3 linked regions of the Lonchura striata genome follow. The protein of the gene in region 1 interacts with the protein of each later gene in a biochemical or structural test. Links are inferred from orthologs where the notes say so. Each region holds a gene or a part of one and is shown on either strand. Other genes may lie near its edges. The genes, in order: USP8, STAM and STAM2.

The links.
Region 2: the proteins of USP8 (region 1) and STAM form a complex in vitro, tested with the Homo sapiens proteins (2 studies listed by BioGRID). The link is inferred for Lonchura striata from reciprocal best matches to the Homo sapiens genes USP8 and STAM.
Region 3: the proteins of USP8 (region 1) and STAM2 form a complex in vitro, tested with the Homo sapiens proteins (3 studies listed by BioGRID, with this or other methods). The link is inferred for Lonchura striata from reciprocal best matches to the Homo sapiens genes USP8 and STAM2.

What each region holds. Positions count from the first base shown.
Region 1 is NC_134613.1:14,580,510-14,587,790, reverse strand, and holds the start of USP8 (ubiquitin carboxyl-terminal hydrolase 8), read left to right. Parts: upstream 1-4,242; 5' UTR 4,243-4,356; intron 4,357-4,389; exon of another isoform or gene 4,390-4,557; intron 4,558-4,673; coding exon of another isoform or gene 4,674-4,676; exon of another isoform or gene 4,677-4,684; intron 4,685-4,691; exon of another isoform or gene 4,692-4,740; intron 4,741-7,281. Other genes in the region: GABPB1 (GA-binding protein subunit beta-1), read right to left, coding at 4,674-4,676. UniProt on the Homo sapiens protein: Hydrolase that can remove conjugated ubiquitin from proteins and therefore plays an important regulatory role at the level of protein turnover by preventing degradation. Converts both 'Lys-48' an 'Lys-63'-linked ubiquitin chains.
Region 2 is NC_134603.1:136,688,426-136,695,934, reverse strand, and holds the start of STAM (signal transducing adapter molecule 1), read right to left. Parts: upstream 3,042-7,509; 5' UTR 2,932-3,041; coding exon 2,892-2,931; intron 1-2,891. UniProt on the Homo sapiens protein: Involved in intracellular signal transduction mediated by cytokines and growth factors. Upon IL-2 and GM-CSL stimulation, it plays a role in signaling leading to DNA synthesis and MYC induction. May also play a role in T-cell development.
Region 3 is NC_134610.1:1,561,485-1,568,411, forward strand, and holds the start of STAM2 (signal transducing adapter molecule 2), read left to right. Parts: upstream 1-3,926; 5' UTR 3,927-3,995; coding exon 3,996-4,035; intron 4,036-6,927.

The sequences.
Region 1 (7,281 bases):
TCAAGGTCACGTAGTTCAATATCCCAGTCAGAGCTGGCCCAGGGCTCAGTCCTGCTGAGTTTTGAATGTCTCTCTATGAACATCCTACCACTTCTTTAGCTTCATTTCAGTGTCCAACCACCCTCATAGAAGAGCTGACTTCAGTATATATTCATCTTCCTCCACTAACCAAAAAGACACTCATGATAACAAGTTATACTTGATGTCTGTTAAACTGAATTAAATTAGTCTGTACATTTAACACCCTATTCAGAACCCACTGCCCACATCTATACACTGAAATGAACTGCAAAGCTGTTATGAAAACCCTCTGCAGCAAAACTCAAGCCACTCCCCCCAAAAAAAAATAAATTATGGTGGCCTGCAAAATGCCAGTCTCACTCCCCAGGAGATGTTAGGGACCAACTTCAGATCAACACCTTTTCAAGAGCCTCCCTGAACTCCCTGAATTACTGTGGAGCACAATCAATGATCCAGTTCTCTGCTCAATGCAAAACTAAATAGCTTTATACTACACTTGATAAAAAAATGTTCTAATCAAGGAAAAAAATAACCTTTCATTACCACATATTCCTTACATTAACCAACACTGTCTTGGTTGCTATAAGGTGTTTGTATTTTAAACAAGCACAAAGCATCACACAGGTTGGTATATGCCTCACAATGTAGTTTTTACTTCAGTTAAAAGAGAAATTAATTATGTTTCAGTTCTCATGGAGTACTTGGAAGCATGCTTGGGCCATCTAGTGGAAAAAAGAAAAAAAAACCCACAAATTTCCACTGTTCAACTAAAATAATAAAAATCCCATTACGTCACTAATGCACTAACAGCAGCAAACAGAGAGGCATTTCCAACAAACTCATGCACGTTTAGTCACTTTTAACCAATAAATACTAGCACTCACAAAATTTCTGAATAGTCAACCCAAAGCTGATTTCCACTTGGAGCCCATTCCAAGGACTGGCATTGTAGGAAAGCCCCCAGTGACAACATACCCAACTTCCCCACTACTCATCGCAGTCCTGGGACAGAGCAAAAAGGGTCTGCAGAGTCACAACCTCCCATTCCAGAAAACCTTTCCAGCTGCTCTCTCAAGATCGCTCAGCAACACTACAATAGTGCAGTGATACTATCACAAGCAAGATACAATAATACATTTAAAATTGAAATGAGATTGCTATTTCAAAGACCAGTCTGCTACTACTCCACAGTGCTAAAATCAACTCTGCTGAACAGTGTTGGAGGGTTCTCTTCACTGTGTCATTTCCATCAAGCTCTGCTAAGTATGACAGCTGTGTAACACTTTGCATGAGGACTTTTTTGGAGAATAAAAACATCAGTGGCTCTGAAATAAAGACTTGAGACTGTTGGAGTTACTCTTATGGCAATGTGATAATGTTTTCAGACTTCTAAGAGCTCCTACACAAACGTGTGAAGAGAGGGTTTGGTCTATAACTGAGTAAATAGGGAAGAGCTTCTGCTGGGTTTAGACTTCTCTGGTTTAATCAGCTCCTGAACTTCCACATTACTGCAATGTATTCTGCACAGTATCATTAGCCAGATGCCACAACTAACCGGTAATTTAAAATAACATCAAATTATTATTGCTATTTTACTTATGTTCAAAGGAAAATTATACTACTTTTTCATATCCATCTTAGATTTAGGTTTTTATACACTCTATTAATCTCTGAAGATCACAGTGTTACCAGCAGGGTGTAGAATGCCACTCAACAGTTTAGGTGGAACTGTGTGTGAAATAGGCTTTGTGGGAAGCAAGTGGAGCTAAAAACCTGGCAACTTGGGACACCTGGCTACCACACCACAGTCTACGGACAATAGAGCAGCAGACACTGCAGTCCAAATTAAAATCAAGTTTGGCTTAAAATGTTGCACCATCTCTCCGAGTGGTGTCCTGCCCCCAAGAACCCAGACCTGCTCCTTCTCTATCGCCGCAGTGCTGAGCATCAGCTGGTCAAGATCAACAGGCCCAAAACAGCTGTGGCAGAACATCTGGCAGCATGGAGACCTTCCAGCCCAGCATTTGTCCCAGGGTGCACTCCTGAAAGGGACATCCTTATTCTGGAGGAGCATGGACTGCAGCAGTGCAACTTACCAAAGGTACTCCAGTCAATACACACTGTGTCTCTGGTAAGGATGTCAAATCACACAGCTCCATTAAAGGCTCATTAAACACTTTTCCCTGCTCAAGTGACAGATGGCAGAATTGCACTTAGAAGATGGCTAGAGACCCATCATCTCTCACATCCATTACATCTGGAAAAATAACGTCCTTTCAGAAAGTCTTTTTCTTCCCAGTACTTAAGGAAAAACCAATTTAACCTGCTTCCCCAGAACTGACCTTCGAAAATGCTACCACCCTACTGGTTTTAACATCTCACAGTATTGCTAGAAATTCAGAATAGCCATTTCTAGCTAATTTTATGTGCCTGTCCATACCAAGATCAATAATATTTTGAAGTACAGAATAGAGTATATAGCATCTCATGAACACTTTGGAATCATTTTACATACATGACAATTGCCAGTGATTATAGCAACTTACATGGATAAACTCAAAAAGTTCATGTCTGGTTTTGTATGTGAATCAAACATCTTTTGACAATGATTTCACAAGCAATACTTCAAATATTAATATAATAGGCTTAGACTATCCACATTTCTATCATGATAGTGAAAATGACACTAATATGTAAATTGCAGTCAGCTTTAATTCCTGCGCTTTCTGCTTTCCTGACTGTTGTATTTGTAATTAAATTCTCTCTAGTTTGCTTGAACAGTAATATGACCTTCATGTCAGACATGCATCAGATGAAAATACCTGATCTGAGAAAAGCAAACATTGTTGCATAGCTTAGTGGCAAAGACAGCCAGGCCTGTTATTAATGCAGGTCTGTTCTCCTATTAGGCTCATACATTAACTTAAAATAGCACCAATCAACAATGAACTCAACTCAAATAAAAAAAGGTTTTTCTACATCTTTTTTTATAAAGGAGAGCACAGATTTGTCCATGATCTGTAACATCTAAAGAGTGTTATGCAAAAAGGGTGAACCATTGACACCCAGATTTGGACTGTCACTGCCAACAAGCTACACAGTTTTCACAAATAAATTTGGCACTAGATACCAAAAACGTTAATTTGCAGCAGCTGTGATTGACATAAAGAATCCAAGGGCTTGTGATGCAGCTTTTGAACTGTACCACAGCCTTAGGAGACCGTCTCAGGTTGATTAAGCTTGAAAATATCACCAAATAAAATTCATCCACCTCCTACCTACAACATCCATTTTACCATGAGGAATCTTCCTCGACAGTTTCTGTCTAAAAAAAAAAAAATCCAACTAGAAAACAAAGTGTTTTCAGCAAAGAAAGTAGGTCATGAACAAGTCTCTATTTAGAATATTCTGATCTGCCACATATACTCTTAACTTTACTCACATGGCACAGTTATGTTCCCCTACAAATATTTGTACTGCACACAAAATCCAGCTAACTGCACAGTCTTACTAATAATTCAGAAGTAACGAGTAAATTAAAATAGGCTGAAGAACTACAGGGTATGCATTCACAACTCTGAGCATATGTAACTCTACTATGAAGCATTCACCGTTAAATCAAAGCCACCTTAGCAAGCAGGTTAAAGGAAAATACACAAACGCCTTAAGAACTACCACAGGCGACTTCCTACAGGGGATTTCACCGACGTGCCACCAGCGTCCCACCAACGGAAACTACTTTGAGTATTTGGGGAAATCAGAAAAAAAAACGACAATGCGCACTAACATATCGTATCCCACTTTTATGCTCCCATCATAGGCTTTATTAAGAGTGCAAAGCGAGAGTTACAGACTGCGGGCGAGGGGCACTGCGGAGGGGAAGCCGCTCCCTTCCCGCCCGAGCCGCCTCTCCCCAGGGCACCTTTGGCGCCAAGCTCGCGCACGCAGCCCCGCCGCCTCAGCAGCCCGGGCCGCGGCCCCGCCGGGCCCCCCGGCCCACGCGGGGCTCGGGACCGTGCCCACGCGGCCCACACCGCGCTGCCCGGCGGAGAAGCCCGCGGGACGAGCCGAGCCCCGCTCTGCCCCTCAGCTGCCGGCTCCCTCGCCGGGCGCGTCGCGCTCGCCCGCGCCCCGCGGGCCGCCCAGGCCGCCGCCGCGGCCCAGCGCGCCGCCCGCGCCCCCCGCGCGGCGGGGTCCCCGGAAGGCCGGCCGGCCGCCCGCTCTCCCCGACAGGAAATCCTGGCTGGGCTGGGCGCTGCGGAGGGAGCCGCGGCGCCGGGTTCCGGGGGAAGTGGAATTATTTTTTACCAGCGAAGAGATCAACTTCCACATCCGGTAACAGGGCCCTATACAAAGGCGCAGACTGACCTGGAAAAGCTTGGCCGGCCCGGGGGGGGTGAGGGAGAGACGGGGCGCGGGGACGGGCCCTTACCGTGCTGCCGGCCCGGCCGCCGCCGCCGCCGCCGCACCGACCCGGGGCTCCGCAGGCCGACAGCCCCACACGAGAGTCCGCGCCGCGCCCGGCGGAGGGACACGGCGGGCGGAGGGGAGTGGCGCGGCTCCGCGCGGCTCTGCCCCGCCGCGGGCGCGCGGGCGGGCGCGAGGCGGCGCGGGGCGCCCCGGGCGGGCCCGGAGGGGCGCCCGGCACTTACCATGGGCGCGGGAATTACCTTATTAACACAGACATCGAGGGAAAGGGGCGCGCGGAGGGATACGGCCTCAGCGCCGCGCAGCGCGCATGCGCGCCGCCGCGGGGAAAGGCGGGGAAGCGCGGGCTGGAGGGGCCCCGCCATGTTCCGTTCCGCTGCCCGCCCGGCGGGGGCAGGGCCGGCCCCGCGCTCTCGGCAGGCCCGGGTGGCCTCCCTAGAGGCAGCTTGTGGAATGAAGATAGGGGTCGCTATCACGGGTTACTCTGTGGCACAGAATGGTGGGGCTTGAGTTTCCCGCCTCTTGGCTGCGGGGCTCTGCTTGTGCTCCCACGTGAGGGTGTGCTGTCTGAGCATGGACTTCTCTGTCTTGCCTGTCTGCGGCAGGGCTTTAGAGATAACCACGGAACCAAATCGGTTGGAGAAGGCGTCAGAGATCATAAGAGTCCAGCGTGTGATTCCACACTATCGTGTCAGCTTAGAGCAATGGCACTGCGTGCCAGCTCTACACCCCCAGGGACGGACCGCCTCCCTGGGCATCTCATTCCAATGTCTAATCACCCTGTGAAGAAATTCTTAATGTCCAACCTAAACCTTCCCTGGTGGAACTCAAAACTATGTTCTCTTGTTCTTGCATAGGTAACCTGGGAGAGACAAATTCCTTCCCACGTAGCTATAACCTCGTATCTGGGAGTTGTAGAGGGTGATAAAGTCACCCCTGAGCCTCCTCCAGGCTGAACCCCCAGCTCCCTCAGCTGCTCCTCATAGGACTTGTGTTCCAGGTCCCTTACCAGCTTCATTGCCTTTCTCTGGACCTGCTCCAGCCCCAAAATGTCCTCCTTAAGGGTCTGAGAACTGGATTCAGTATTCAAGGTCTGGCCTCACCAGTTGCAAATCTGAGGAAGCTACACTTTGGGATCATAGAAATAGAACTTGACAGGATGACAGCTCCAAAATAGTCTTCAGATGTTGCTGCTCCTTCAGAGGGCTCTGGCCTTCAGTCCCAGGCTGGTACTGAACCTGACAGCCCAGGCCCTGAAACATTTTTCTCGTAGTTTTGTTTCAACAATCCAAAATAGTTGTGCTCACAATTTCCCCAAAGCTGCTCCAAGTCATACATCTGCTACTGTGAAGCATGGATCTCATAATTCTCATCTTACAGGAAAACATACCAATGACAGAATTCTAGTCTGTTATTTTGGAGATTATAATACCCACTAGATAATTAGAGGAATACTTGTTATAACACTGTTTACAGAGCCGTTATTATTTGCCTTTGACCTATCTAATGCAGCTTTGTACAAAATACCAATAACAAAATTCCAAGGTAACCGTTTCTTTCTGTCACCTGTGGACTGGTTTTTCTGGGCGTGCTGAGCCAAAAGGCGGCAGTACGGAACAATTCCAAATACCTCAGGGCTGCCACTGGTCACTCAGGGCATGGAAACCTTACATCCAACCTTCAGCACGTTCCTTGTTGGCAAGTGTCTGTGTCTCTCAACAAGGAATTAGCATGTCAGGTATGGCTTTTCATTTATGCAGTAGTGGTAGACACAAAAAATGTTACAGTGTGCTCACAGGCGTGTGCCAATAAAACAGGAAGACTGGTGTTAGCAGCAGTGCTACAGAAAAGCCAAAATTTCCATATTACTGACAATCTTTCATAAAGGTGAAGAATGCATTTGGTCCATTAGCACTGTATATCAATTTTCATTAATATGATCACAAAATAATCATGTCTAGTTTTTTTACAGGATTCACCAAAACATGTAAGAGAGAGACATTGTATGTTAGATGTAGGCAACTCAGAACACATTTCACATCTGTAAAGTATGGTTTCTACTTTACCCTGCTTTAGAAGATGGTACTATTTTTTTTTTTTTTTAGCTAACTAATCTAAAAGCACACCAATTTCTACTAAAATTATTTTATTTATTTAGTACTGCTACACAAGAACATATGTGCTGATAAGAAAATGTGTTCTAACCTGAGGCAACCACAGCATGTTATAACATAATCAACATCATTAGCATGTTTTAACAAGCTCTGGAGTGGGGTAAAGCTAATTGCACAGGCAACTCCTCCCCAAACACTTTTCTAATATGGCTGGGGTTTGCCCATACAAGTAAAACCAAAGATTGTATCATGCAATTTTTTCATATAAGAGAAACAATAAAGAGGTTCTCTGAGTCCAGTTTGGACAGCAGTGAGTATGAGTGTCAACATTAATTTGTACACATCCCAAGCTCTGGTATCAGTGAACTTACCCCTTCCATCTTGTCATAACCTTCTGGCATCACTCACCCTGGCTAAAACACATAGAGCAGGTCTGAAAAAGGCACTTACAAGAGTGTGGTGTTATATTCAGTTCAGCTTAGAGTTGTTGGATTCTATTGACTTACTTTGTGTTCACTTTTCTGCACTATATAGAGGACATAGCACCGTTCTCATTTCTCCCAGAACCTTTCACAGATCTGAGCACTCACACTGCAAACTACAGATGGATAAATTGTCTGAGCCTTTCATGTGCCCAGTGCCAACCAATGTTACTGTACCTCTAGGTGCTGTAATATAGTTCAGCTTCCTGGGCAAGGAATTAGAAGTATTTTAGAAG
Region 2 (7,509 bases), on another chromosome or scaffold:
AAATCTGCATTTTTCAGGAACAACTTGCTGGGAATAATTTTATGATTTTAAGATTAAGAAATACAGCAGAAACATAAAACCCACAAACCTAATAAGAACACTTATAATTCTAACCCCTTAAATGGAAGATTAGAGTTTCTTAATTATACTCTCAACAGGCCCAGTTCTTGAAGATTTTTTCCTTTTTTTAAATTCCATGTTCCTTACTTGGGCACATCATCAAAGGTTCCCCAACTTGATTCTGAAAACTTGTGTCACCACTGATTAGCATCCAGTCCTGTTGAAATATTCCTAACTATGGTGAAAAAGAAACTTCAGAAAATGAAAACTATTTGGACTTCATCCAGAGAATTGGACTCTTGAAGATGACAGTGGTTAACCTTCACAAATCTTTGGACATCTTTAATATTATTAATTTAATAGCAGTCTTAAATAACATTCTTTAGCCAACTACACCTAAAAAAAACAGGCGTACAAAGTTGGTACAAATGATAATATATTATGGATGACCAGGTTCCACTGCAGCAGCATGCTAACAGGACTAGCCAAATGCTGCTAGCTGGCCAGACAAACTGCAAAATTTGTCCTGAAGGTAAGACATACTTATGCTCCTCAAAATAATGCAAAACAATTTAGTTCCAGGTATGCTCTCTGCAATCCATTACCCTAAATGGTTCCAAGATAATTTCCAACTATTGCACAGTACTGATCAGCTGTTCAGTAGACAAGAATGCACTATAGCTATAGTATAGCTATCACTATACTATCAACTACACCAATGTCCACATTTGTATGAAATTAAGAATAGCTGCTGACTGCCTTTCTGCTTCTGGAATCTGATTTTAAAAAGAAAACTTTCTTGCTGGATAAGAACAAAAGCAGAACGCTCAACTTTCACTCACAGCAAACCAATGAAAAATAGCACTATAGCTTCACAACTTTTGGAAGTTTCTTGAGAACATGAGAGTTTACTCTACAGCTGATGCTATCTTATGAAGCCTGCCAAAAAATTCATCCAGATAATAGCAAATTCCCAAAGGGCCCCAGAGAAGAGCCCAGGGGTGCTTTCCGGGAGACTTCATCACTGCCATCTCCCTGGCACAAATCCAGTGAAGTGATGGATAAAGGCAGCAGGGTCCTGAAAGTAGGCTGTCACCAACTGAACAGCCTGCTGCTCCCTCAGGACACCATGAAAGGGGCCAAAAGGGGCTGTTTACCAGTGAAAATCAGCTCATGGCCCATTGTCTGCTTTTCCAAAAATGATTTGGTACTGAGTGGTTATTTCTATCTCCTCATACTCTTTACAGAGTAATGCTTTTGAAAGTTCTTCACTGCTGATCATATTAGGCAAGCACCATAGATAGGAGGTTGGCATCCTCTGCACCTAGAAAAGAGCAAATGAGCCACTGAAATAACTGACGGGTGCTACTGCCCTGCCTTGTGACTCACAGTGCTGAGGAGCACATCCAGTGAATTGAGCTCCAGAGACACCCCTTCAAGCAGTCTGAGCTCTCCTGCCAGCAAGAGGCACTAACAAGAAAAAAAGTGAACACCTGCCAGAACCTGAGCCTATCACTTTTTAATCTTATTAGTTCAAATAATTCTCAAATAGTCCCTTATAGCTGTCAAATTACACTAGAAGACAGCAGAACAACTAAGAAGAATTCTTTACTGCTTTCCAAAATAAGTCAGCTTTGCTACCAACAAAATCATTCATTGAAGTGCAGTCTTCAGCTTAAAAGTTAACAGTTCAAAATGAGAAGACCGAGGTATGTCTTATTTTGATGCAATAGACTAAGATTTTCTGATAACATAAAAACAGAATTTATATCTCAGTACTTTGTTTATTCAATAATCCTTTCTCCTGAAATGCTATACTTTTCAAATGGCTTTGACTTGGTATTTCTTTGAAGCGCTGGAAGAATTTAATTGGAGCCTAAACACCTGAAGTTTGATATTAAATATTAAGAAACTGCAGTTGAATATTAATATCTGCAGTTGAAAGTTACAGCTAGTTTAACACTATTAAAGAAATTAGTTTCAAGAGACTTAAATAATGTTACACTTCTGTAAGAAAATAACCAAGGGGTGTATTTATGCACATAGGAGAAAAAGTCCCTTTATATTATGGGATTCTCCAGACAAAGCCTTTATGGCTCAAAGCTAAAGAGATGTCAGCAGCAGGTCAAAAACCAACCATATTACACAATCTCAAATAAAACACACAAAACTAATTATTAACTGTCTATATGTTATTTTAACTTCAGTTTCAACACATCAGCATTAAGTCCAATTTTTGTCAAGTAAAAGCCAGATACTTCTCCACCTAATCTGGCCTTTTGGAACAAGCAAAGTGGGGATAACACCTGAGCTCAGCACATCAAGTTTTACTTGAAAGGAAAAGAGAAAGCTCCCACAGGAATCCCCTTTAAAGAACTAAATACAAAACGCTTTAACGATTTTCTCACGCCTGTCTGTGAAGCGACTGTAGATGGTGCTTTTTTCTGTTCATCCTTTCAAAAACACTCCAGCGCGGACCTTTCGCGCCGCTTGTTTTGCTGGCGCTGAGCAGGCCAGCTCGTCCCCCAGGAGCATCCCCGCGCTCGGCGCCGCGGCCCGCAAGGCCAGAAGGGCCGCGGGGCCCCGGCGCTGTCCCCGGCAGCTCCGGCCGCCCCCGCCGGGACGCGGCCCCGGCCCGCCCCGGCCGCTCCGTGGCCCCGGCCCGCCCGGGCCCCGCCGCTGCTGCGGCTTCCCGGGCGGGCGCCAGGGGCCCGGCAGCGCAGGGCCGGGACAGCGGCCGGCTGCCGCGGGGATGGAGCCAGCGCGGGTCCGGGGGCCGGCCCGCCGAACGCGGGATCACCGGGGAGAGGCCGGGCCGCGGAGCCACTCACCCACATCCTGGTCGAAGGGGTTGGTGGCGAAGAGCGGCATGGCGGGGCGGGGGGCGGCCGCCCCTCCCGGCAGTGGCGGCGGCGAGAGAAGGAGAGCAGCCCTCGGCGGCGGCGGCGGCGGCTCCTCCTCCCGCCCCGGCAGCGCCGCCACCGCCTCCTCCCAGCGCCGGGCGCCGCCTCCCGCGCAGCACGCCGGGAACCGGGGCGGGAACCGGGGCTGGAACCGGGGCGGGAACCCGGGCGGGAACCCGGGCTGGAACCGGGGCTGGAACCCGGGCTGGAACCGGGGCGGGAACCGGGGCCGGGCCCGCCGCCACCGCCCCCCGGCCTTCCGCGGGACCCGCAACACCCGCCCTGCCCCGCCCCGCCATCGCAGGTGGGCATCTCAGCCCCGGCACGGCTGCCCTAGGCGGAGGTTTATATTATTTAGTTACGTGAGGTCTTTCCTCCGCCCGTGCTTGTGAGGCGAGATGGTTTTGTACCCAGACACATTTGATTTCTATGGGAGATTTTTGGAGCTTCCCTATACGTTGGTCTGACTGAATCTTTTCATTGGCAATGCCACGGTGCTTGTGGCACGGTAGCCTGGCGGCAAAGGGCAGGCTGGTGGTTGTGCCAGATCTCTCACAGCATCACACGGGAGCCTGGCCGTTTCTCCGCGGTCACATCTCATGGAGGGCAGTAGCTATCGGCTGGTCACAGGGCCTGGAATATCCCGTGGCCTCTGGTTCTCTATCTTGGTGCTCCACTTTGTAAGCCTGTGTTGCTGGCTTCAGTGGGGTGTGTCCCACGTTAACAATATGACTCATTGGATAAGACACGTTCTGCATATTCCTGCTGTGACATAAAACTCAAGTCATTATCCTTAATGCCTTTTAGTACTGTTCGATACTCTGAACTGGTTGGATTGCAAATTAAGTAAAACTAGGCTCATGTATACGCTTGGGGAAAGAGTCAGACAGAGCAATTGGAGCACATCACAGGCACGCAAACAAGAAATGAAAGAGGTGCTATGACTGTTTGCAGGGCAGAAACACTGGATGTGATCAATAGCATTAACTATGCTCAATAATGAATGTGATTGCATGCATTAGGCAGACTTCTGACACATCAAATGAAAACTGCACACCAAGCCTTTTCCCACAAGGATTTACAGTCACTAAGCACTTTGTTATTTTACTAAGGTTTCTTTCCCAGACCTCTAGTTCTGCTTTACTGTTTAGCAACTGTTTTCAGTAGCTAATGCAGGTCAGCATTGATCTGCTGTGTAGAACTGACTACTTGTAAGGAATTTCATGTTTTCTTTGGATTCTACCTCTATTCAACTACTAAATACTCTCAGAGGATACTTTACCTCCTCCCCATTCATCATCCCCCATTATGTTCACAAAAGACATATGGTAGATGTCCTCTGAGCCTGCTTTATCCCCTCCTTTCTCATCCCTTCTTTCCGATCAGTTCAAAATTAATGGTAGGAATCCTTTCAAAACAAGCAGAGCTTTTATTCAGTCGTCCTGCAGGAAGAGCTAACACAACACTTGTGGGGAACTGGGGTTTTAGACTGCCTTCAGCCTAAAAGCATTCCAACCCAATCTTCCTTCCCAATACCTTACTGAACATTTTGAAAAAAGGCAGTCTATACCAGGAAGCATCTTAAGGGTTTGTAATCATGGCTCATATTTTAATTCTGTAATGATTTTTTTTTTACTGTGGACACAGTGTGAAGTACTTCCAAAACTCCATATTGTATTGATTTCTCCCTCTTTTCCCTGTCTCGTGACTCTAGCATTTTTCCATGGCTGGTAGGTAGAGCACTCTCCCAGGAAGAGGGAGGTTTGCCCTCTCTGACATAAATGGCTATCGAAACCAGCTTTTCCACCTTATGTGTGAGTAGTATAATGAATATGCTATTAAGAACAGGTGTGTTAATCTATATGCTATTAATAAACAGGTGTGAACTACATCTTTACTGGATGTAGTTCAAAATGCTTGTATTATTTCCTACTGCTGCCTAAGTTAGCTATCTAAAAGTAAGGCATACAGATCAAAGATACAGTCTCAAATTGCATCTAATTTTGGGGGATCTACAGCTGAAAGAGAATGTAGCAACACTGCCCTGTGCCCACAACTATGTGCTGCCACCACATTTCTTGTATTAGATTTGGAATTTGATCCATTTCATTTGTGGCTGCACAATCAGCTGATCCAGCTGAAAACTACCTCACTGCAGAGAAGTTCCCTGTTGGATCATGTCATACCTCTGACTCACCTTGGAATTAGATCAGGCATGTGAAGAGGTGGGAAGGCATGGCTGGGGACAGTACTTCAGCAGTCTGGGTCAGGAAAAACAGGCATGTCCAGGGGATTATTCATCTGTTCTATTTTGGACCTCATTCTGAAGATGGCCTCTGCAACAGTGACTCTGTTGATTTCACAGATGAGCCTATTTGTCCAACAGTTCTCTGACTTAGGGCTTGTCTCTAGACAGCCTTATAGCAAGTTTTAAGTAGGGTGTTGTTTTTTTTTTTTAAAATGTGTGCTACTTTTGTCTGAAGTAAGCAGTCTCAGATGACTGGTGCAGGCATGTCTTTTTTCTTTGCACACTTCTCTTTTTATATAGTACTGTTGTTCAGATACAGCTAAGAGATCACAGAATGGCTTGGGTTAGAATGGACCTTAGTGGTAATCTAGTTCAAATCCCCCTGCCCTAGGCAGGGACACTTTCCACTACACCAGGTTGTTCACACCCCTGTTCAATCTTTGAACCACTGCCAGGTTTGGGGCACCCACAACTTCTCTGGGCAACATGTTCCAGAGCCTCACCACCCTGACAGCAAATAATTTCTTCCCAATATCTCATCTAAATCTACCCTGTTTCAGTTTTAAAGCCATTACCCCTTGTCTTATTGCTGTGTCACTACAATGTCCTTGTTAAAAAGTCCCTCTCCACCTTTCTTGCAGGCACCTTTCAGATACCAGAAGGCTGCAATGAGTTCTCCCAGAGCCTTCTCTTCTCCAGTCTGCACAGCCCTAATTCTCTCAGCCCATCTCCATAGCAGAGTTGCTCCAGCTCTCTGATCATATTCATGGCCTCCTCTGCACTCATTCCAGCAGGTCCACATCCTTCTTATGTTGGGGTACCCCGAGCTGAATCCAGTACTCCAGGTGAAGTCTCATAAAGGCAGGTATTCAGTTAATTTTCAGCATAACACGCTTCCTGGATTTTAAAGATGTGACATACACCTAAATTTGATAAAGTGTTTTACTTATGCTGTTTGTTTATATAATTTGTGACTTTTACTTAAAATTATGACAAGAGTTTATTCATATGAAGGTAAATTTTGGATTCTGATGATATACAATTATTCATTTTTCTATAGTCTTCTGTAGGAAAGGATATCTAAGAGGACCAACTTGTAAATCTGCTGGGGAAGTTCTAATGTTCTTTACAATCACTCAGTTGACATCCATCTGCATTAGACAAGCATTTTCTTAAAATAAGGCAAAGCCATTATAGACATAGCGACCCACTGCAGCTCCAGTTTGCTGGGGTAGTATTTTATTTGTCATGCCCATTTATTTTAGCATATCTTGGTAGCTGCTGCATTGTAAAAACAAAGTGTATGGTGCCAGGAAAAAGTCAGGCCAGTACACTTCTAGCAAGGAGACAGATATGAAGAACAATGATTGTCTCACAAATCAGTCCCACTGACCTTTATTTTAACTGCATTTTCATTATAGTCTACTGTGTACATTGCTTTTGGAACTGGAAACTGTGAAGAAAGGATAATCAAAGGAAAAGAGAAAAGCTCAGAATAGAGTAAGTGCCAGCCATCCATTTAATCACAGTTTTTGTCTTTGACAGGGCAAGAACAAAATGTTTTGGATGGCTTACAAGATGCTGTACTGCATAACGATACAATGATATGACAAAGACAAAATTTTTCCAGTTACAGGGCACATGTAGATGCTTTAGCTACTGGACCATAGTGATTTACTTCCCATCTATAACCTTACTGTATATGTTCTAATATTTTGCAAGTGTCCAAGCAGCATGGCTTACAGTAATCTTATCTATTCCATTATGTATGGAGAAAATATATGAAACATATCAATACAGTATGTCTGGTGTCTGGTGTTAGGAAATCAGGCTAAAATTATTTAATTGTCGCTTTTTGCCTTAATATTTATGAAGTATGCAAGTAGGATTATATGAAGCAAATAACTGGAAATCCTTCAAACCCATGTAATCTTAGAACTAGGCAAAGATTCTACTATTAAATTTTGTAAAATAATTCATTTTGCCCTGACAACATTAAACACTGTGATGTGCAACTTTCTAGTTAATATTTGCACAGGGATGCCAGAAACAAGGGTTTATATCTTCCTCAGTCTCTCTGAATTCAAAGCAGTAATTTCGAAGCAACTCACATGAAGAAATATTTAATACATTTACACTGAAGTTTTGTTAAATTATTTTGGAAAACAAGTTCATTGAAGTCAAACACAAAAATATGTTTATGCTATTTGCTTGAGTACTCTTATGGTAATCTATTGTGATCTACCTGTGAAAGGCAGGTAACCTGTAAGGTGCTGGCTGCTGGGATCCCTGGGTGCC
Region 3 (6,927 bases), on another chromosome or scaffold:
TACAAACCCTCTGGATCCATCAGGGACTGGACACGGTGCAGGCAGCTGGGCCTAATGGTGGGAACACAGCTGGGACACGGGGGCACAGACTGCTCAGGGAGACAGAGATTCCCAGAGCCAGAGGCTGCAAATACAGCTCTGGAAACAGCTTCTTTTCAGATCATTTTGCTGTCCTCTCCTCCTTGCTTCTCCTTAAGGAATAGTTTGTTCCTCCATTACTCCGTGCCCTGATATTTTCCTTTCCTTTCTGTATTGTTGTTGATTTTTACCATTTCCTGTGGGATTTTTCCTTTGGGAATTGTGGCTCTGGCTGTGGTGTCACCCAAAGCAGGAGTTCTGTAGGTGCTCCTGGACTGGATGTTCTCCACGACTCCTTGGAGCTGGGAGGCTCAGACTCAGCGGAAAGCCCTTCCCAATCCTTCCTTTCCAGGTGGTCTTGGATGCGTGGTCCCACCATGTCCAAAAGAGAATGGAGCAAAGCTCCACGTTTGATTTGAGGTGACAAAACCTATGGAAATGGAGGAACCATCCCTTCGTTTCCACGGCCAGCTGCTCTGACTGCGGCACCACGTGGAATGAGTGGAGTTCATGAAAGCCAAAACTCTGGAATTAACCAGGATCCATTCCAAATTCCCACTTTGGCCAGACAACATCAGTGTTCGGTGCCTTCCCGTGCTAATGGGTTCATAATTCCTCTTTTAAGGCAATTAAACCAATGAATGCCGTTCTCGTTCCGAGTCGTTAAATGAAAGGAGAAGTTTCGATGCAATTAGTGAATTTAGACCTCGGGAAAGACTCTGCATTTTGTCTTAAAAAATCTGGCAGGAGGCGATTCCCAGCAGCAGGATCGGGATGGCAAAGGGTGGCCGGGAATGCGAGGCAACTGTGCCCCCTGCAGACAGCCGGAATCCCTGGAAAAAGCCTGGAAAACCGGGAAGGGAACGCTCCTTGGACCTCCACCGCCTCCTCACACAGCCCATCCACTTCAAGGCGTTGAGCTGAAAGGTCTCCTCCAACCTTGCTGATTTGATGGAATTCCAGAATCAAAAATCCCGACAGAGAAGCTTTGATAGCCCCAGGTCATCACAGCTGATTTAAAACCCAATGTTTTGAAGTACAAGATGTTCCAAAAATATGAGCTGTTTTCATGACAAAAACGAAGCACTACATTTTTGTAGGAACATCTCCAAATGAAATTTTAATAAATAATAATAATTTATAATTATTCAAATGTATAATTCAATTCAATTACAATATAAGAATTAAATCTCTTTACAAAAGGTGCTAAAAATACTGTTTTCACACGTGCTCTGAATCTTACACTTTGGTATTACAGCTGAGGAAAGGAATGTGGCCCCTGAAATTCAAGGTGAGTGGGCAGGGAAATATCACTGAATCATACAGGAAGCTTTCAGGAATGCTGCAATAATTTGTGTTGGACTTCCAAAATCCTGCCCTTCTCCCAGAATTGGGAACTGTGCTGCTGCCATGCCTCACTTTGCCACAGGTTCTTTGGGAATAACTCAGAATTAGCCACAGGTTCTTTGGGAATAACTCAATTTGCCACAGGTTCTTTGGGAATAACTCAGAATTAGGCAGTGGGTGCTGTGCTTTGCCACAGGTTCTTTGGGAATAACTCAGAATTAGGCACAAATTCTTTGGGAATAACTCAGAATTCAGCAGTGGGTAACGCAGTGACTCAGGCCCGCTCCCACATGGGTGACTGTGCATATTCCAAAGGCACCGGTGCTGGGTACAACCCCTGACTCATCCCACTTGTTCCTCACAGGAAGGACTTGGAGCTGATCCCCCAGCAGGGATGGGGACAGGTGGTGCTCAGGTGTGCCCATAATGGGGATTTTTGGGGGGCCACACATCCCAAAAATCTGAACTGTCACTGAGCCACGTTCCCTGTGGAATGTTCCTGTTTGCCACCATCCCTCCACAACCTGTAATCCCCTCATCTCCTCAGCCAGTTATTAATTAGTGTCCTCTCTCCTGCTGGTTAATGATTCTCTCGTTCCTCATGCTAATTAATGCCGTGCCCTTGTCCCGTTTAGGGTCAGGCAGTTTTTTACCCCCTGCTGGAATTAATTCCCTTTTACCCGGGCACAGCTGATTTCACCACAGCCGCTGAATTGGCTCTGTTGGTTTCTTCCCTGCCCCGGGGGCTCTGCCAGATGCCTTTGTGGCCTGGGAATCCGGCATTCCCTGGATCCACAACCAGGAGAAATCCTTCCTGCTGAATGGGAATATTGAATTCCCTGCATCCACTGCCAGGGGAAATCCTTCCTCCTGAACAGGAATTCTGCATTCCCTGGATCCACAACCAGGAGAAATCCTTCCTGCTGAATGGGAATATCGAATTCCCTGGATCCAATACCAGGGGAAATCCTTCCTCATGAAAGGGAATCCCTGGATCCACAACCAGAGGAAATCTTTCCTCCTAAACGGGAATCCCTGGATCCAAACAAGAGGAAACCATTCCTCCTGAATGGGAATCCCTGTATCCACTACCAGGGATTGAAATCCTTCCTCATGAACGGGAATCCCTGGATCCACTACCAGGGATTGAAATCCTTCTTCATGAACAGGAATCCTGCATTCCCTGGAAATTCAGCTCAGGAAACAGCTTATTTTGGATGCACTACCAGGAGAAATTTTTCCTTCTGAACGGGAATCCCTGGATCCACTGCGAGGCAAAATCCTTCCTGCTGAACGGGAATCCCGCATTCCCTGGATCCACTACCAGAGGAAATCCTTCCTCCTGAATGTGAATCCCTGGATCCATAACCAGGGATTGAAATCCTTCCTCATGAATGCAAATCCCTGGATCCATAACCAGGGATTGAAATCCTTCCTCTTGAACGGGAATCCCTGGATCCACTAACAGAGGAAATCCTTCCTCATGAATGTGAATCCCTGGATCCATAACCATGGATTGAAATCCTTCCTCATGAATGTGAATCCCTGGATCCATAACCAGGGATTGAAATCTTTCCTCCTGAACGGGAATCCCTGGATCCACTACCAGGGATTGAAATCCTTCCTCCTGAACGGGAATCCCTGGATCCATAACCAGGGATTGAAATCCTTCCTCTTGAACGAAAATCCCTGGATCCACAACCAGGGCAAATCCTTCCTCCTGAACGCTCTCAGCCTCACCTACAGCTGACCTCACTGGAGCTGACAAGCCCTGAATTTAACACAGCAGTTGCAGCCTGAGGAATTTGTTTTTCCGGCACTGTACATCAGTGGGAGCTCGCTGGCTGCTGTCTCCCACCGCCCTTCCTGGCGATCCTCATTGCAACCTACAAAGAACTAACACCAGAGAACATCCTTCCAAACACCAGAGCACATCCTTCCAAACACCAGAGAACGTCTTTCTTAACACCAAAGAACTTCCTTCCTAACACAAAAGAACTTCCTTCCTGTACAAAACCTTTACGCATTCCACATTGGACAACAATCATGCAGGACCCTGCCTCATGACCCGCTTCCCCTGCAGCTCTCTGGGAAATTTTTTCAGCATTTCCAACGGTTCACTGTTTTTATTTCTTTTATTTTTTTTTTTTAACTTTTCCTCTTGACGAGCCAGGACGAGCTGCCCGCGCAGTTTGCGCCCTCAGACAAGCGCAGTTCGGGTACAAAGGACGAGCGGCGCCCGCCGCGCTCGCTCCCTCAGGCGCCGCCGCGACATGGCGGCGGGTCGCGTCGGCGCGCCCTCAGCGGCAGCTCCGCCCCGCGGGGCCCCGCGCCGCGCCTGCCGCCGCCGCGCTCCCGCCGCCCGCCCCGTTCCCCTCATCGCGCGGGGCCGCTCCGCTGTTCTCCCTCCCGGCCGCGATCCCGGCGGCGCTGCGGGCGCGGCGGGGCCGCGCGGCGCTGCGGGCGCGGCGGGGCAGCCCCGCGCGCGGAGCGGCCGAGGCGGGGCGGGCGCGGCGGCGGCTCCGGCCGGGTCAGGCGGTGCGGGACGCGCGGCGGCACGGCGGGCCGAGATGCCGCTCTTCGCCGCCAACCCCTTCGAGCAGGACGTGGGTGAGCGGCGCGGCGGCGGCTGGGCTCGGCGGGGCGGCCTGCTCGGGCTGTAGATTCTCTTCTTCCTCCTCTTTTTTCCCCGCTTCCTTTTCCTCCTCGGCTGTTTCCTTCTCCTTGTCCTCCTCTTTTCGCCTCGCTGTTCCCCGCGCCGGGGGTCGGCGTGGGTCCCGGTGGGTGATCCCGAGGAGGGCACCGTGGCCCGGCTGGGGCAGGAGGGATCGGCAGCCGTGGGGTGAGGCCGGTGTGACACGGGGTCACAGCGAGCCCCGGGAGTGCTGGGCTGGGAAAGGGCCTGGAAGGCTGGAAAAGGCCCTGGGAGGGGCTGGTGCCCAGCTGGGCAGGAGGCCAGTGGTCCCTGGGCTGTGCCAGCCCGGTGTGACACAGCCCGGGGCAGTGCCCGTCCCTGTGCTGGCACTGCGGGGACACCGCAAGGGTGGGGACTGCTCTGGGACAAGGGAGACACTGAGGGGCTGGAGTGGAGCTGGGAAGGGAATGGAGAATCCCTGAGGGAGCTGGGAAGGGGCTGGAGAATTCCTGAGGGAGCTGGGAAGGGAATGGAGAATCCTTGAGGGAGCTGGGAATGGGCTGGGGAATTCCTGAGGGAGCTGGAGAGGAAATGGAGAATCCCTGAGGGAGCTGGGAAGGGAATGGAGAATCCCTGAGGGAGCTGGAGAGGGGCTGGAGAATCCCTGAGGGAGCTGGGAATGGGCTGGGGAATTCCTGAGGGAGCTGGGAAGGGAATGGAGAATTCCTGAGGGAGCTGGAGAGGAAATGGAGAATCCCTGAGGGAGCTGGGAAGGGAATGGAGAATCCCTGAGGGAGCTGGAGAGGGGCTGGAGAATCCCTGAGGGAGCTGGGAAGGGAATGGAGAATTCCTAAGGGAGCTGGGAAGGGAATGGAGAATTCCTGGGGGAGCTGGGAATGGGCTGGGGAATCCCTGAGGGAGCTGGGAAGGGAATGGAGAATTCCTGAGGGAGATGGGAAGGGAATGGAGAATTCCTGAGGGAGCTGGGAAGGGAATGGAGAATCCCTGAGGGAGATGGGAAGGGAATGGAGAATTCCTGAGGGAGCTGGAGAGGGGCTGGAGAATCTCTGAGGGATCTGGGAAGGGAATGGAGAATCCCTGAGGGAGCTGGGAAGGGAATGGAGAATCCCTGAGGGAGATGGGAAGGGAATGGAGAATTCCTGAGGGAGCTGGAGAGGGGCTGGAGAATCTCTGAGGGATCTGGGAAGGGAATGGAGAATCCCTGAGGGAGCTGGGAAGGGAATGGAGAATCCCTGAGGGAGCTGGGAAGGGGCTGGAGAATCCCTGAGGGAGCTGGGAAGGGAATGGAGAATCCCTGAGGGAGCTGGGAAGGGGCTCAGCCTGGAGCCAAGGAGGATCCCCAGGGATCTTTTCCCTCTCTGGAATTCCCTGTCAGGAGGGGACAGCCGGGGGGATTTGGGATCATCCCAGGGAATGGGACAGGAGCAGAGGGAACGGCCTCAGGCTGGCCCAGGGGAGCTCAGGGTGGGACCAGCAGGAATTTCCCCATGGAAAGGGGCTCAGGGATTGGCACTGCCCAGGGAGGGTTGGAGTGCCCATCCCTGGAGGTGTCCCAGGAATTCTGGAGGTGGCACTCGGGGCTCTTGGCGGGGACAGGGTGGGCATGGGGCACAGCTGGGACTTTGGGATCTTGGAGCTCTTTTCCAGCCTCATTTCTGGGATCCTGAGCACCAGAATCCCAAGGCTTTTCCCAGAAGGGAATATCCATCAATCCCACCCCAGCAGCAGAGGTGGCCCTGCCCCAGCTCCTCCTGGCAGGGAACATTTTGTGCTCCCCCACAGCTCCAAATCCCTCACACCAACAACAGAAAAGGAGCCCGGAAAGTCCTTAAAATCCTATCTTTTGCATTTTGGGGGAAAAATTCTTCCTGGCAAGCGTGCTCAGGCCTTGGCAGGGGCTGCCCAGGGAGGGTTGGAGGTGTCCCTGGAATTCCTGGAGGTGGCACTCAGGGCTCTGGGCTGGGGATAAGGTGGGCTTTGGGCACAGCTGGGACTGGATGGGCTGGGAGGGCTTTTCCAGCCTTAATAATCCCGGGATTCCTCCTGTGGCTGTGGTGGGCCCAGGGCACACCTGACACATCCTGGCCGGGCTGGGGGCTCTGGCAGGGAAAGGATCCGTGGTTCCCCCCTCTCCCTTCCCCTCAGCAGCATCAAGGAATGGTTTGTGCCTGTTTTGCTCCGACTCCTGAAATTTCCCAGCGTTTTCCAGAGGTGTCTCTGTGCATCCTGGCCTCGCCATGGCGTTTGCAGGGATTCGGATACTTGTGGCTGCTGGAAGATCAGCTGCTTTTCATCCTTTTATTGAGGATTTTTTCCCAGTGGCTTCCCCAGAACCACACAGAGGTTGGGGTGGCTGTGCAGGGCCAGGAGCTGGGCTGGATGATCTTGATGGATCTTTTCCAACTCAGGATATTCTGTGCTTCAATGATTACAGAAGCTGCCTGGAGTTGGGCTGAAGACGGTGACTCAGTTGTTTTGTTTTGTGTCCTGCCCTGACTCGTGCTTCCTTAAACTCGTGCTCTGTGTCACTTTTTTGTTACACAACGTCTGTTCTCAATGGCAGCACTGAAAAAAACAGTGAAATAAGTGAGACACCAGGCTCAGCTTTCTTGTTGGCACCCTAGGAAAGAGAAGAATTCAACATTCCTGGGATTTTTGTCCTGGCCAAAATGGAAGAGTTTGAGTGCTCTTGTTGCCACACAATCTCTTGTTTCATTTTGAGCTGGTTTCCTGGTTTATTTATTATTTTATTTCTAATTTCAACTCCCTGGTGCAGTTTGCTGTTTGACCACACTCACATTTCACGTGGCTCAAACTGGTGTATTTGTTCAGGTGGATTTTTTTGG